Arabidopsis thaliana: one gene and its partners. The protein of the gene in region 1 purifies or fractionates together with the protein of each later gene. This does not show direct contact. Each region holds a gene or a part of one and is shown in the gene's direction. Other genes may lie near its edges.

What was found.
Region 2: the proteins of AT3G19480 (region 1) and MTHFR2 fractionate together in Arabidopsis thaliana (co-fractionation; one large-scale study listed by BioGRID). This does not show direct contact.
Region 3: the proteins of AT3G19480 (region 1) and Hop3 fractionate together in Arabidopsis thaliana (co-fractionation; one large-scale study listed by BioGRID). This does not show direct contact.

The regions. Positions count from the first base shown.
Region 1 is NC_003074.8:6,750,350-6,754,103, forward strand, and holds the start of AT3G19480 (D-3-phosphoglycerate dehydrogenase), read left to right. Parts: upstream 1-2,072; 5' UTR 2,073-2,240; coding exon 2,241-2,751; intron 2,752-2,833; coding exon 2,834-3,321; intron 3,322-3,397; coding exon 3,398-3,493; intron 3,494-3,629; coding exon 3,630-3,754. Other genes in the region: AT3G19470 (F-box and associated interaction domains-containing protein), read left to right, coding at 1-565. UniProt on the Arabidopsis thaliana protein: Involved in the plastidial phosphorylated pathway of serine biosynthesis (PPSB).
Region 2 is NC_003071.7:18,260,481-18,264,234, forward strand, and holds the start of MTHFR2 (methylenetetrahydrofolate reductase 2), read left to right. Parts: upstream 1-1,708; 5' UTR 1,709-1,820; coding exon 1,821-2,283; intron 2,284-2,368; coding exon 2,369-2,451; intron 2,452-2,530; coding exon 2,531-2,704; intron 2,705-3,011; coding exon 3,012-3,185; intron 3,186-3,264; coding exon 3,265-3,365; intron 3,366-3,462; coding exon 3,463-3,574; intron 3,575-3,739; coding exon 3,740-3,754. Other genes in the region: histone-lysine N-methyltransferase ASHH3, read left to right, coding at 4-43, 134-224, 313-361, 458-523.
Region 3 is NC_003075.7:7,339,683-7,343,436, reverse strand, and holds the start of Hop3 (stress-inducible protein), read left to right. Parts: upstream 1-2,075; 5' UTR 2,076-2,197; coding exon 2,198-3,034; intron 3,035-3,491; coding exon 3,492-3,754. Other genes in the region: AT4G12410 (SAUR-like auxin-responsive protein family), read left to right, coding at 8-481. UniProt on the Arabidopsis thaliana protein: Mediates the association of the molecular chaperones HSP70 and HSP90. Mediates nuclear encoded chloroplast preproteins binding to HSP90 prior to chloroplastic sorting. Involved in acclimation to heat.

The DNA.
Region 1 (3,754 bases):
TGTAACTCCGGAGTGGCACTTATGGCAAATGCTCCATGGCGTGTCTCTCAAGGGAAATGCCTACTGGTTTGCTAGAGAGAATTATACCGAAACAATGGACACAGACCATTTTTTCTTACTCTGTTTTGATTTCACAAGCGAGACATTTGGGCCGCCTTTGCCTCTTCCGTTTGAGTTTGCTGTTTCTGAAGATACTATGAGTGTATCTAGTGTTAGAGAAGAGCAGCTTGTTGTATTATATCAGCCGTGGGATTATTTACAGTTGGACATCTGGGTGACGTCTAAGATTGAGCCCAACGCTGTGTCGTGGAACAGCAAGGTGTTCTTATCAGTGAGTTTAAAACAACTCGTCAGCCCTCAGTTTCAGTTAACTTTTGGGAGTTTCTTCATCGACGAGGAGAAGAAAGTCGCTGTGGTTTTTGATAAAGACTACGATAATAAGCGCAACATAGCTTACATCTTTGGAGTGGATGGATCCTTTAAAGCAGTTGATCTCGGAGATTCAGACCGAAAGTGTTTTCCACTTGTGTGCTCTTATGTTCCAAGTCTAGTGCAACTTAATTAGTCGACCATCTATTCCTTGCTTACTTTTTTTCTTCCTCTTTTGTCATCTTCTTTGAACAAGATCATTATTTGTTAGTCAATAACATATTAACTTGTTTCTCATACTTGTTTTTGTTTGCCATATATATTTGAATTCGTTTCCAAATGGTGCACACGCTCCTTCCCCTGCAGCTAATCGTTTGTTACTTTCAGTCCCCTTAAGTTGGAGCAAACTGTATGCTTCTTGGTTGGCATTCTCCGCGAAAGCATGCATCGTTTCTTCCAAGAGTCTTTAGGTATTGATAGTTCATCGTTTTCTTTTTCTATTGTAACACAGTAGCAGTTAAAGATAAGTCGAACGGGTGATCTTTTTGTTCATTAGACAAAACTAGAGAGGTTTCTCTTCTCTTTCTTCTAGTAAGGAACAAGGCTAAGGTTAATAGATAGCTAGCTATCTGAGATATCTCACAAAAGCTTTCACTATGGCCCTGTACTATATCAACTTCATATTTTAGGTGTTTCATATTTCAGATAAAATGTGCTCATATCTTCTTCCTCTTTGTTCAGCGTCTTCTGCAAAAGTGATATAGATCTTGACATGCTGCTAAAATACCTCTTGATATATTTAGTTTTTCTTACCAATTTAAGTTATAGCATAATCCTTTTATCATGTTAGTTATTGTTCTATCCTAATTGTCTAGCATGGAGTAGAATGATTTTGAAGCAGGGACTTGTAGAACGATTTTTCGTGTGCCACAGGTTTACTCCCTTCCTTAATGTGGTGACCAGCGCTTGTCCTTGTGGTCTGTCCACTCATTCTGCTATCTTTCAACGAATATCACAAAATAATAGTGGTTAGTATGTCTCATATGATTACCTTAAATTTAGCGGCTACTGACTGATGAATCATGAGGCTTTACGCTACTACTATTTCTCTTGTGTTCCACAAGGCGTTTCCAATACTTGGTGATATCCTCCAACGACATCTGCCTAGTATTTTGACCTTGCCAGTTGCCAAATCAATTAATAAACCCTTCACCAGAAGATTCTTACTACATCAAACAATAAATAAAACTAAAGTTTGACTGGAAGAAGAGTTTTGGAACGTTAGACAAATTTTCAGCATTTGACGATATGAAAGATGTCTAAATCTAAAGAAACAGAGATACAATTCTTTCAATATTATATACTTGCTAACTATCAAGAACAGGCATGAAAAAATAAAAATATTAAAAAAAAATACATATTACTATATAGAATTCATATGTCATCGATAACTTTTACATTATTTTTTACAATCCGCCTTACTTAAACGCGCCTTATCTAATAGATATATAAATGTATCTCTATTTATATTATAATTTAATTTAAAATCAATATAAAAAAATGTGTTTTTTCAATTTTTAAACCACATAACCTAATAGTATAATATTTGATATATTATTATTTTGTTTTAAGAATGTAGTATATTTGTATTTTATTAGCAAAACCATTATTAAATTGTAACTTTTTTTTCTTCTATATAAAGTTTCAAAATCCACTTAAGAAGTGAAGATATAAGTGAACAAAGGATGTAGCGTAATCTAGCACAACATATTTAAACCTCACAAAACCCACCCGAAAGATGAACCCATATCTCTCTACTCTGTTGCTGACGATACATACACCTTTACTTACATTATATTCCCGCCATCGCGATGGCGACGTCTCTGAATCTATCATCGATCTTCTCCTCCTCCTCAAGGCTCGTCACCACTCCCTCCTCTGTTTTTCCCATCCGTCAGAGGCGACGGATCATCCTCGTTACGTCTTCTTCTTCCGGAGGTGGAGGAAAACCGACGATTCTCGTAACGGAGAAGCTAGGCCAAGCGGGGATCGATCTGCTTAAGAAGTACGCTAATGTGGATTGCTCTTATGATCTGAGTCTCGAGGAGCTTTGTACGAAGATCTCTCTTTGTGATGCGCTCATCGTCAGGAGTGGTACCAAGGTTGGGAGAGATGTGTTTGAATCGTCGCGTGGGAGGCTTAAGGTTGTTGGACGCGCTGGTGTTGGGATTGATAACGTCGATTTGGCGGCGGCGACTGAGTATGGGTGTTTGGTTGTTAATGCTCCGACTGCGAACACTGTGGCTGCTGCTGAACACGGAATTGCGCTTTTGACCGCCATGGCTAGAAACATTGCTCAAGCTGATGCTTCTATCAAAGCTGGTGAGTGTTTTAAACGGTTGTTGAATTTGAATAGCGATTTGAGAAATTGCGATGTGAAATGTAGAAATGTGGTTGTTTGTAGGCAAATGGACGAGAAACAAGTATGTAGGTGTTTCACTTGTGGGGAAGACTCTTGCTGTTCTTGGTTTTGGTAAAGTTGGATCAGAGGTTGCTAGACGAGCCAGGGGACTTGGTATGCATGTCATTACACATGATCCTTATGCACCAGCGGATCGTGCACGAGCTATTGGTGTGGAGCTTGTTAGTTTTGAAGTAGCTATTTCAACTGCTGACTTCATCTCTTTGCATCTGCCTCTTACTGCTGCTACTTCGAAGATGATGAATGATGTGACCTTTGCGATGATGAAGAAAGGAGTCCGTATTGTTAATGTTGCTCGTGGTGGAGTTATTGATGAGGAAGCTCTTTTGAGAGCGCTTGACTCGGGTATTGTTGCTCAGGCAGCTCTTGATGTTTTTACAGTAGAGCCACCTGTTAAAGATAATAAGTTGGTGTTACATGAGAGTGTCACTGCCACACCTCATCTTGGTGCTAGTACTATGGAGGCTCAGGTATTACATACTGTATATTCGTTTTGCCTTTAGTGCATTTTGTTCTGCTCTCCTGAAACCTTTACTTGACGCCTAGGAAGGAGTGTCTATCGAAGTCGCAGAAGCTGTTATTGGAGCTTTGAGAGGAGAACTTGCTGCTACCGCGGTCAATGCACCAATGGTTCCACTAGAGGTAATTTCAGACTTCACTATAGAGTCCTTAATTCAGGATCAAGTTTCATTCTTCTAGTTCTTGGTGATATTGCAAGTAGTGATAATGATTTGTCCTGCAAATTCTCTGACACTGTTCAGTTGCTATCTGTTTTCAGGTATTGAGGGAGCTGAAGCCGTATGTTGTACTTGCTGAGAAGCTTGGGAGGCTGGCTGTACAATTGGTAACTGGTGGAAGCGGTGTGAATGCTGTGAAAGTGACTTATGCTTCTTCCAGAGCTCC
Region 2 (3,754 bases), on another chromosome or scaffold:
TAGGTGCATCAAAATGGACTTGTAAATAGACACATAGATGCAGGTAAGTTTGGATTTTTTCTGCTCAATTTGCGAGAGTAGCTTATTGTGTTTTGGTTGTAAGAAAGTAATTTGGATTCCCATGTTTCTCCAGGAAAATCATGGAACAATCTTAGTCAAAGGGATACATGTTCGCGTAATTGCATTGGTGTGGTGATCAGGTTATCTCGCCCCACGAGTGATAGGTATTTATTGAGTTTTGAACTCGTGGATTAGTTTTATGACTCATTCTATGCTTTTCTCATCCAATGTTTTATCTTTTGAGATTTTCAGGTGTTTTGGCCTCGTTAGACATTTTGATGAGTATTCAAGAAAGCACTCGGTATTACAATTAGCCAATACTTGTTCCTCACCATCGAACTTGGCAAAATCATTCTCAATTAAGACCTCTCTGTTAACATCTTTAAACTTGGTCCAGGTGATGTTCGAGGATGGTGTTACCGAGTTTGTCGACATGTCGAGAGAAGACTGGGAGATTGTCTAATATTGTTTTCAGGTGATTTATACTCTTCACTCTCTTAATGAAACATTAAAACTCCCAGAAGCATAGAGTATTAAATTACCCTGGCTGCTATGTTTCTGCAGATTGCTTTGAAGTTGAGAAACCAAAATAACCTGTCTTGGTAAACTAAAGGTATCCCAAAAAACCCGGGTCTGACTGACTGGGATTGGTGCAGTGACATTGTTTGTTGCGTCTAACTTGTGACCTGTGTTTGTACAACCATTATAAGAGATATCATATATCTACTTGTGTAACCACATCTGTACTTTCTTCTCCTTCCTTCTTTTTTCATGGGGATCTCAAATGATGATGTCTTGCAAGAACCTTCGTGGTGTGTAATTGACTTTGTAAGAACCGGTAATCTCATATCCGGTTTAGCTTTTAAAAATTTGTATCCAAAGACCGGTTTGTTCTTGTTTGCATGTGCTGTTCTTATTCGTGCATCTGTGTGAGTGTGACTGTGTCGGTGTCGCCGACAAAAGCCGGTGTTTGCAAAATCTGACCAGTTTTGTTTTAGCGATTAACGTTTCAAATTCCTTCAAATGCAAAATGAGTTAAACAAGTGAAAAATTACTAAAACAACATAACAGTTTTAAATTGGAAAAAGTTTTGTAAAGTTTAAAGATACACTGTAAGTGAAAAACGGAAAATTTTAATTAGATTTTTTTTTTTTTTTTTTTTTTTTGGTAAAAGTAGATTATTTTTGTTAAACAAAAGTGATGGATCATTGGTTTTTTGGTAGTAGGTGGGTGATGTGGGTGTGTGGTTCTGGTTCACCAACTCAAAAAGCATAGACTGCAGGGGTTGGGGATTGATAACGACAAATCTAATTGTGGTTGGTAAATCTTTTACTAATCACATTCCTTTAAAATAATTATGTAACTCATCTTGTTTACTAATATCAACTCGACTATCTTAATATCAAATAACTCGGATTCTTCATTTTTTTCACTTTAGAATGGTTTGGTAAATCTCTTGAATAATAAACACTTTAATAAAAATGTTTTTTTTTGTCAAGCATAAAAATGTAACTCATGTTGTCTAACTACATGGATTTTCGCACAAAACAATGATTAAATGTAAATTATGTAATTATACTTTATTTAAAGTATGATTTTGTCTTAAAAATGAAAATAATATAAGGAAGTGGACGGGTAAGGTAAAGTCTAAAATTCACCAAACATTTTGGAATCTCTCTGTTTACTATAAAGCAGTGAGTAGAAGAACCTGAAAGAACTCGCCTTTGTCTCTCATTCTTCTTCTCCATTTCGAAAAGAAGATGAAGGTGATAGATAAGATCCAGTCATTAGCCGACGAAGGCAAAACAGCGTTTTCCTTCGAATTCTTCCCACCAAAGACAGAAGATGGAGTCGACAATCTCTTTGAGAGAATGGATCGAATGGTTGCTTATGGTCCAACGTTTTGCGATATCACTTGGGGAGCTGGTGGATCTACCGCAGATCTAACGCTTGATATAGCTTCGAGGATGCAAAACGTTGTTTGTGTTGAGAGTATGATGCATCTTACGTGTACTAACATGCCTGTTGAGAAGATTGATCATGCTCTTGAGACTATTAGATCTAATGGGATTCAGAATGTGCTTGCTCTTAGAGGTGATCCTCCTCATGGTCAAGATAAGTTTGTTCAGGTTGAAGGTGGTTTTGATTGTGCTTTGGATCTTGTTAATCACATTCGTAGCAAGTATGGTGATTACTTTGGTATCACTGTCGCTGGTTATCCTGGTAATGTCTCGAATTCGAATTTGATTTCTTTGTTTCGTGTGATTTGTAGCTAAAGATTGGATTTTTATGTGTTTTGATATTTCAGAGGCGCATCCTGATGTTATTGGTGAGAATGGTCTTGCGTCTAATGAAGCTTATCAGAGTGATCTTGAGTATCTGAAGAAAAAGGTTTGTTTTGTTTGTTTTTGTTTTGCTTTGTTCTTAAATGTCTGCATCAATTTTTGAATTTGGGTTTGTCTTGGAACAGATTGATGCTGGAGCTGATCTGATTGTTACTCAGCTTTTCTATGATACTGATATATTCCTCAAGTTTGTGAATGATTGTCGGCAAATTGGGATTAGTTGTCCCATTGTTCCTGGAATTATGCCTATTAATAACTACAGAGGCTTTTTGCGTATGACTGGTTTCTGCAAGACTAAGGTAAGTTTTGATCGTTTAGTAAACACCAGTTCCTGCAAATGAATCACCTTTTAGGAGATGAATGATATTGCTTGTTGCCTTTCCATAAAGGTGTTTGTTTGCTAGCTTAGGATATGTTTTTAAAAAAGTGTATTTAAGGTTTCGTGATCAGCTAGATGAAATTGAGATACTTGATTATATTATTGTTTTCAGAGAAAGTGTTTGTTGGATAGCTATTCAAAGAGAATTCTTTATATTAATGTAGATACCAGCTGTGCTTTTTGTGAAAAAAAGATAGATGAATTTACATATGATTATATTAATGTAGATACCAGTTGAGGTGATGGCTGCCTTGGAGCCTATCAAGGATAACGAAGAAGCTGTGAAAGCCTATGGTATTCACCTTGGAACAGAGATGTGTAAAAAGATGTTGGCTCATGGAGTCAAGTCTCTTCATCTCTACACATTGAACATGGAGAAATCTGCTCTTGCAATATTGATGGTTGGTCCTCACTTTTTCTACTTGATGTAAAGCATGATACTGATAGTGGAGTAGCTTTACTATTTTGTTGTTGTTTCAGAATCTTGGTATGATTGATGAGTCCAAAATTTCTCGTTCTTTACCCTGGAGACGCCCTGCAAATGTTTTCCGTACTAAGGAAGATGTGCGCCCCATTTTCTGGTAACAGAGCTTAGTTTCTCTCGTTCTGATTATACTTAGCCACATATTTTACTCTGCAGGGAAAATAAGACTTGTTCTTTCTTCTAATCTTTTGAAGGGCAAACCGTCCAAAGAGCTACATTTCTAGAACCAAGGGCTGGGAAGATTTCCCACAAGGCCGGTGGGGTGATTCACGCAGTGCTTCATATGGTGCACTCTCGGATCATCAGGTACTACAATACATCATCTGTAATTGCACAACTCTCTTTCAAGATTTCATAACAAAGGGGTTTTGAAGGGTATTTCTTCGATTGGTCTTTTTGATTTGCTCTAGATTGTTAAATGTAACATCTTCTTGTGAGCTTGTTTGCTGAACTAAATGCTTTTGTTGTCAGTTCTCACGTCCGCGA
Region 3 (3,754 bases), on another chromosome or scaffold:
ACCAAGCATGAAGAGAGTCAGAGGGTTCAAAATTGGACACAGATTTGTCAAAATTTTCAAATGGATACCAAGAAACAGATGCCCGACCCGAATCACAAACCCGGTTACCGGAATCCGGTCATTAGCACGGTGTTTAAGCCGTGGAGCTAAGAGATTGTGCGGTGGAAGCAAGAAGAATCCGGGTCAGAATCAGATCCGGTTGGGTAAGGATCCGAAAAAGTCGAACCGGGTTGTTCCTCGAGGACATTTGGTGGTTCATGTCGGCGAATCAGACGATGACACGCGGCGAGTTGTGGTGCCGGTGATTTACTTTAATCATCCATTGTTTGGAGAATTGTTGGAGCAAGCGGAGCGGGTTCATGGGTTTGATCAACCGGGTCGGATCACTATTCCTTGTCGGGTTTCGGATTTTGAAAAAGTCCAGTTGAGGATCGCTGCATGGGATCATTGCCGCAGGAAAAATTCTTACAAGATTATATAATTTGAATTTATAAAATAGTCAAAAATCAAAAGAGGATTAAAAAAATTTATATACACTTATACAGTACAGAGAAGGATGATTTCCTTTAATTTGTGAATATTAGTTTTTTTTACCATCTATGTTATACGATAAATACCGATTCATAAATACAAGATAATTATTTGTATCAGTTTATTTCATGGATGATAGACCACATTGACATCCTATAATACTATATGGTTTAGATTTATGTGTGTAATTTTATAAGTTAGAACAAAACTGAAATTATGTTCTAACTTATAAAATTACACACATAAAAACTGAAATTAAAAAAAAAAAACAGAAAAAACTGAAATTGGGCTATCAGTATTTTTGAATACTTATATTTCAATATATCAAATACAGTGAGTGATGGTGTATTGCTGTATCTGAAACCTATCATCCACTATAAACCCCAATTGAAGTGAAACAATCAATATTTAGAATTTCCATATAATGTTAATTATGAAATTACTTCTATCTAAATATATTTCAGAAGAATTTTTGAGATACCACTTTTATGATTTTTATTTTTTTTTAATAATACCACTGTTTTTTTTTTTTGTTAATTTTCAATGTAACACAAAATGCAATCATAGAATTTGTTTTATTAACTTTTATAGAGCATATTATAAAAACGTTTATAAAGTTTCTATAATGCATAATATCAAACATTTATAAGATTTTTCACAAAATTTTTAATGTTTTATAGTGCTTAGAAGATTTTTCTTAAGAAATGATATGAAACTAGAATTTTTGAACAACCTTTTTCTGGTCTTTTTGAAAAATGGTATCATAAAGGTGGTAATTTTCAAAATTTCCCAAATTTGAATACAAATTCAAATCATATTGTAGGAAAGTGATCAAATATGTTAAAATTTAGAAGATGAGGTGAGAACAAATGTGCAGAGGAGATGCACTTGCTAAATTTGCATCTTCATGTGATTTGTATTTTGCTTTTTAGATTGTAGTTTACCACTTTGGTTGGTTACAAGTATTTGGAGAAACCATGTACTACTTGTTCTTTGAGTATTAATATATATGATTATATGTGGTATGTTTAGAAAAAAACAAAAAAACCAAATATCAAACCTAAACTTATTAAAAGTAAAGACACATTTGATTAAAACCTAAACCAAAAACGTACAAAACTATTCGCTTATGATGATATTATTTATCATAACCAAAACTTTAATCACCATACATACCTCCGATTTGGTTTTCTCTCCCAAACTGGTCGTCTTCTCACCTCTGGTTTACTACTACTTCGGATTGAAGAATTTTGATCGTCTCGTTGCTAACTCCACGATGTCTTTCTGACGCTTAATCTTCTGACAGAAGACAAAGACATAGCATAAAAAAGTAAGCACAGAACATAAACGGATGTTTATTCTTTTCTAGACGGTATATTTACATAAATAACGAATCACTTATCAAAAAGCTGGAGTAGCTCAGTTGGTTAGAGCGTGTGGCTGTTAACCACAAGGTCAGAGGTTCGACCCCTTTCTCTAGCGTTTCTTTTCCTTTTGTATTTTTAAGATTTAAAAACATTTTTCCACGGCTACAAAAGAACATTCTCGACATACACAAAAAAATTCGAAATTTCGAGAACTCTCTTGTGCCTTCTTCTTCATCTTCCTCTGTTTTTAAAAATGCAATCAAGCAGATTCTCACGATACCTAAACCAAATCCAATTCAATGGCGGAAGAAGCAAAATCCAAAGGAAACGCAGCTTTCTCTTCCGGCGATTACGCCACCGCAATAACCCATTTCACAGAAGCAATCAACCTTTCACCAACCAATCACATCCTCTACTCAAACAGATCCGCTTCTTACGCTTCTCTCCACCGTTACGAAGAAGCTTTATCAGACGCGAAGAAGACTATAGAGCTTAAACCTGATTGGTCTAAAGGATATAGCCGATTAGGTGCTGCGTTTATTGGATTGTCCAAGTTTGATGAAGCGGTTGATTCGTATAAGAAAGGATTAGAGATTGATCCGAGTAATGAGATGCTTAAATCGGGATTAGCTGATGCTTCGAGATCTAGGGTTTCGTCAAAGTCGAATCCTTTTGTTGATGCGTTTCAAGGGAAGGAGATGTGGGAGAAGTTGACGGCGGATCCGGGGACTAGGGTTTATTTGGAGCAGGATGATTTTGTTAAGACGATGAAGGAGATTCAGAGGAACCCTAATAATCTTAATTTGTATATGAAGGATAAGAGAGTTATGAAGGCTTTAGGGGTTTTGTTGAATGTGAAGTTTGGTGGATCTAGTGGTGAAGATACTGAGATGAAGGAGGCTGATGAGAGGAAAGAGCCTGAACCGGAGATGGAACCTATGGAGTTGACGGAGGAGGAGAGGCAGAAGAAGGAGAGAAAGGAGAAGGCTTTGAAGGAGAAAGGGGAAGGAAATGTTGCTTATAAGAAGAAGGATTTTGGGAGAGCTGTTGAACATTATACTAAGGCCATGGAGCTCGATGATGAGGATATTTCGTATTTGACGAATCGTGCTGCTGTTTATCTTGAGATGGGGAAGGTATTAAGTCTTATACTTGGCTTAAAAGTTAAACCTTTAGGTACTTTAAGATTAAGGAGGAGATCTTGGGTTCTTGAAGTAGCTTATCTGTTTAGTATAGCTTGTCACTAGTTAGTACATTTGTGATGACCTTGATGGGTTTTGATAACTTTCATCTGCTTCTTGTTGGAGATTTAAGAGTTTTGAACTTAAGTTTTCACTTGTGCTGAAAGTAGTTAGCTTTAGATGAGGTAGAAATTTAGGGTTTATGGCTTCATGATGGAGTTTATTCACTTGTTCTGTAGAAGTGGTTATCTTTATTATTACTGGAATCAATTAATCTTCAAGTATCCTGAGTGGTTCAATTCCATTGGTCTATGTGTTCTTGCATTAGTCTTGTTTAATTAACAGTTGGTTCATCTGGATCTTACTGTATCTTGTGTGATGTTTTACTTCATTTCTCAAATGAAATTATCAGTACGAGGAGTGCATTGAAGACTGTGACAAGGCTGTTGAAAGAGGCAGAGAACTTCGTTCTGACTTCAAGATGATAGCAAGAGCTCTGACTAGAAAAGGATCTGCTCTAGTGAAAATGGCGAGATGCTCGAAAGACTTTGAGCCTGCGATTGAGACTTTCCAGAAAGCTCTTACAGAGCATCGTAATCCAGATACATTGAAGAAACTGAACGATGCTGAGAAAGTCAAGAAAGAGCTGGAGCAACAGGAGTACTTTGATCCTAC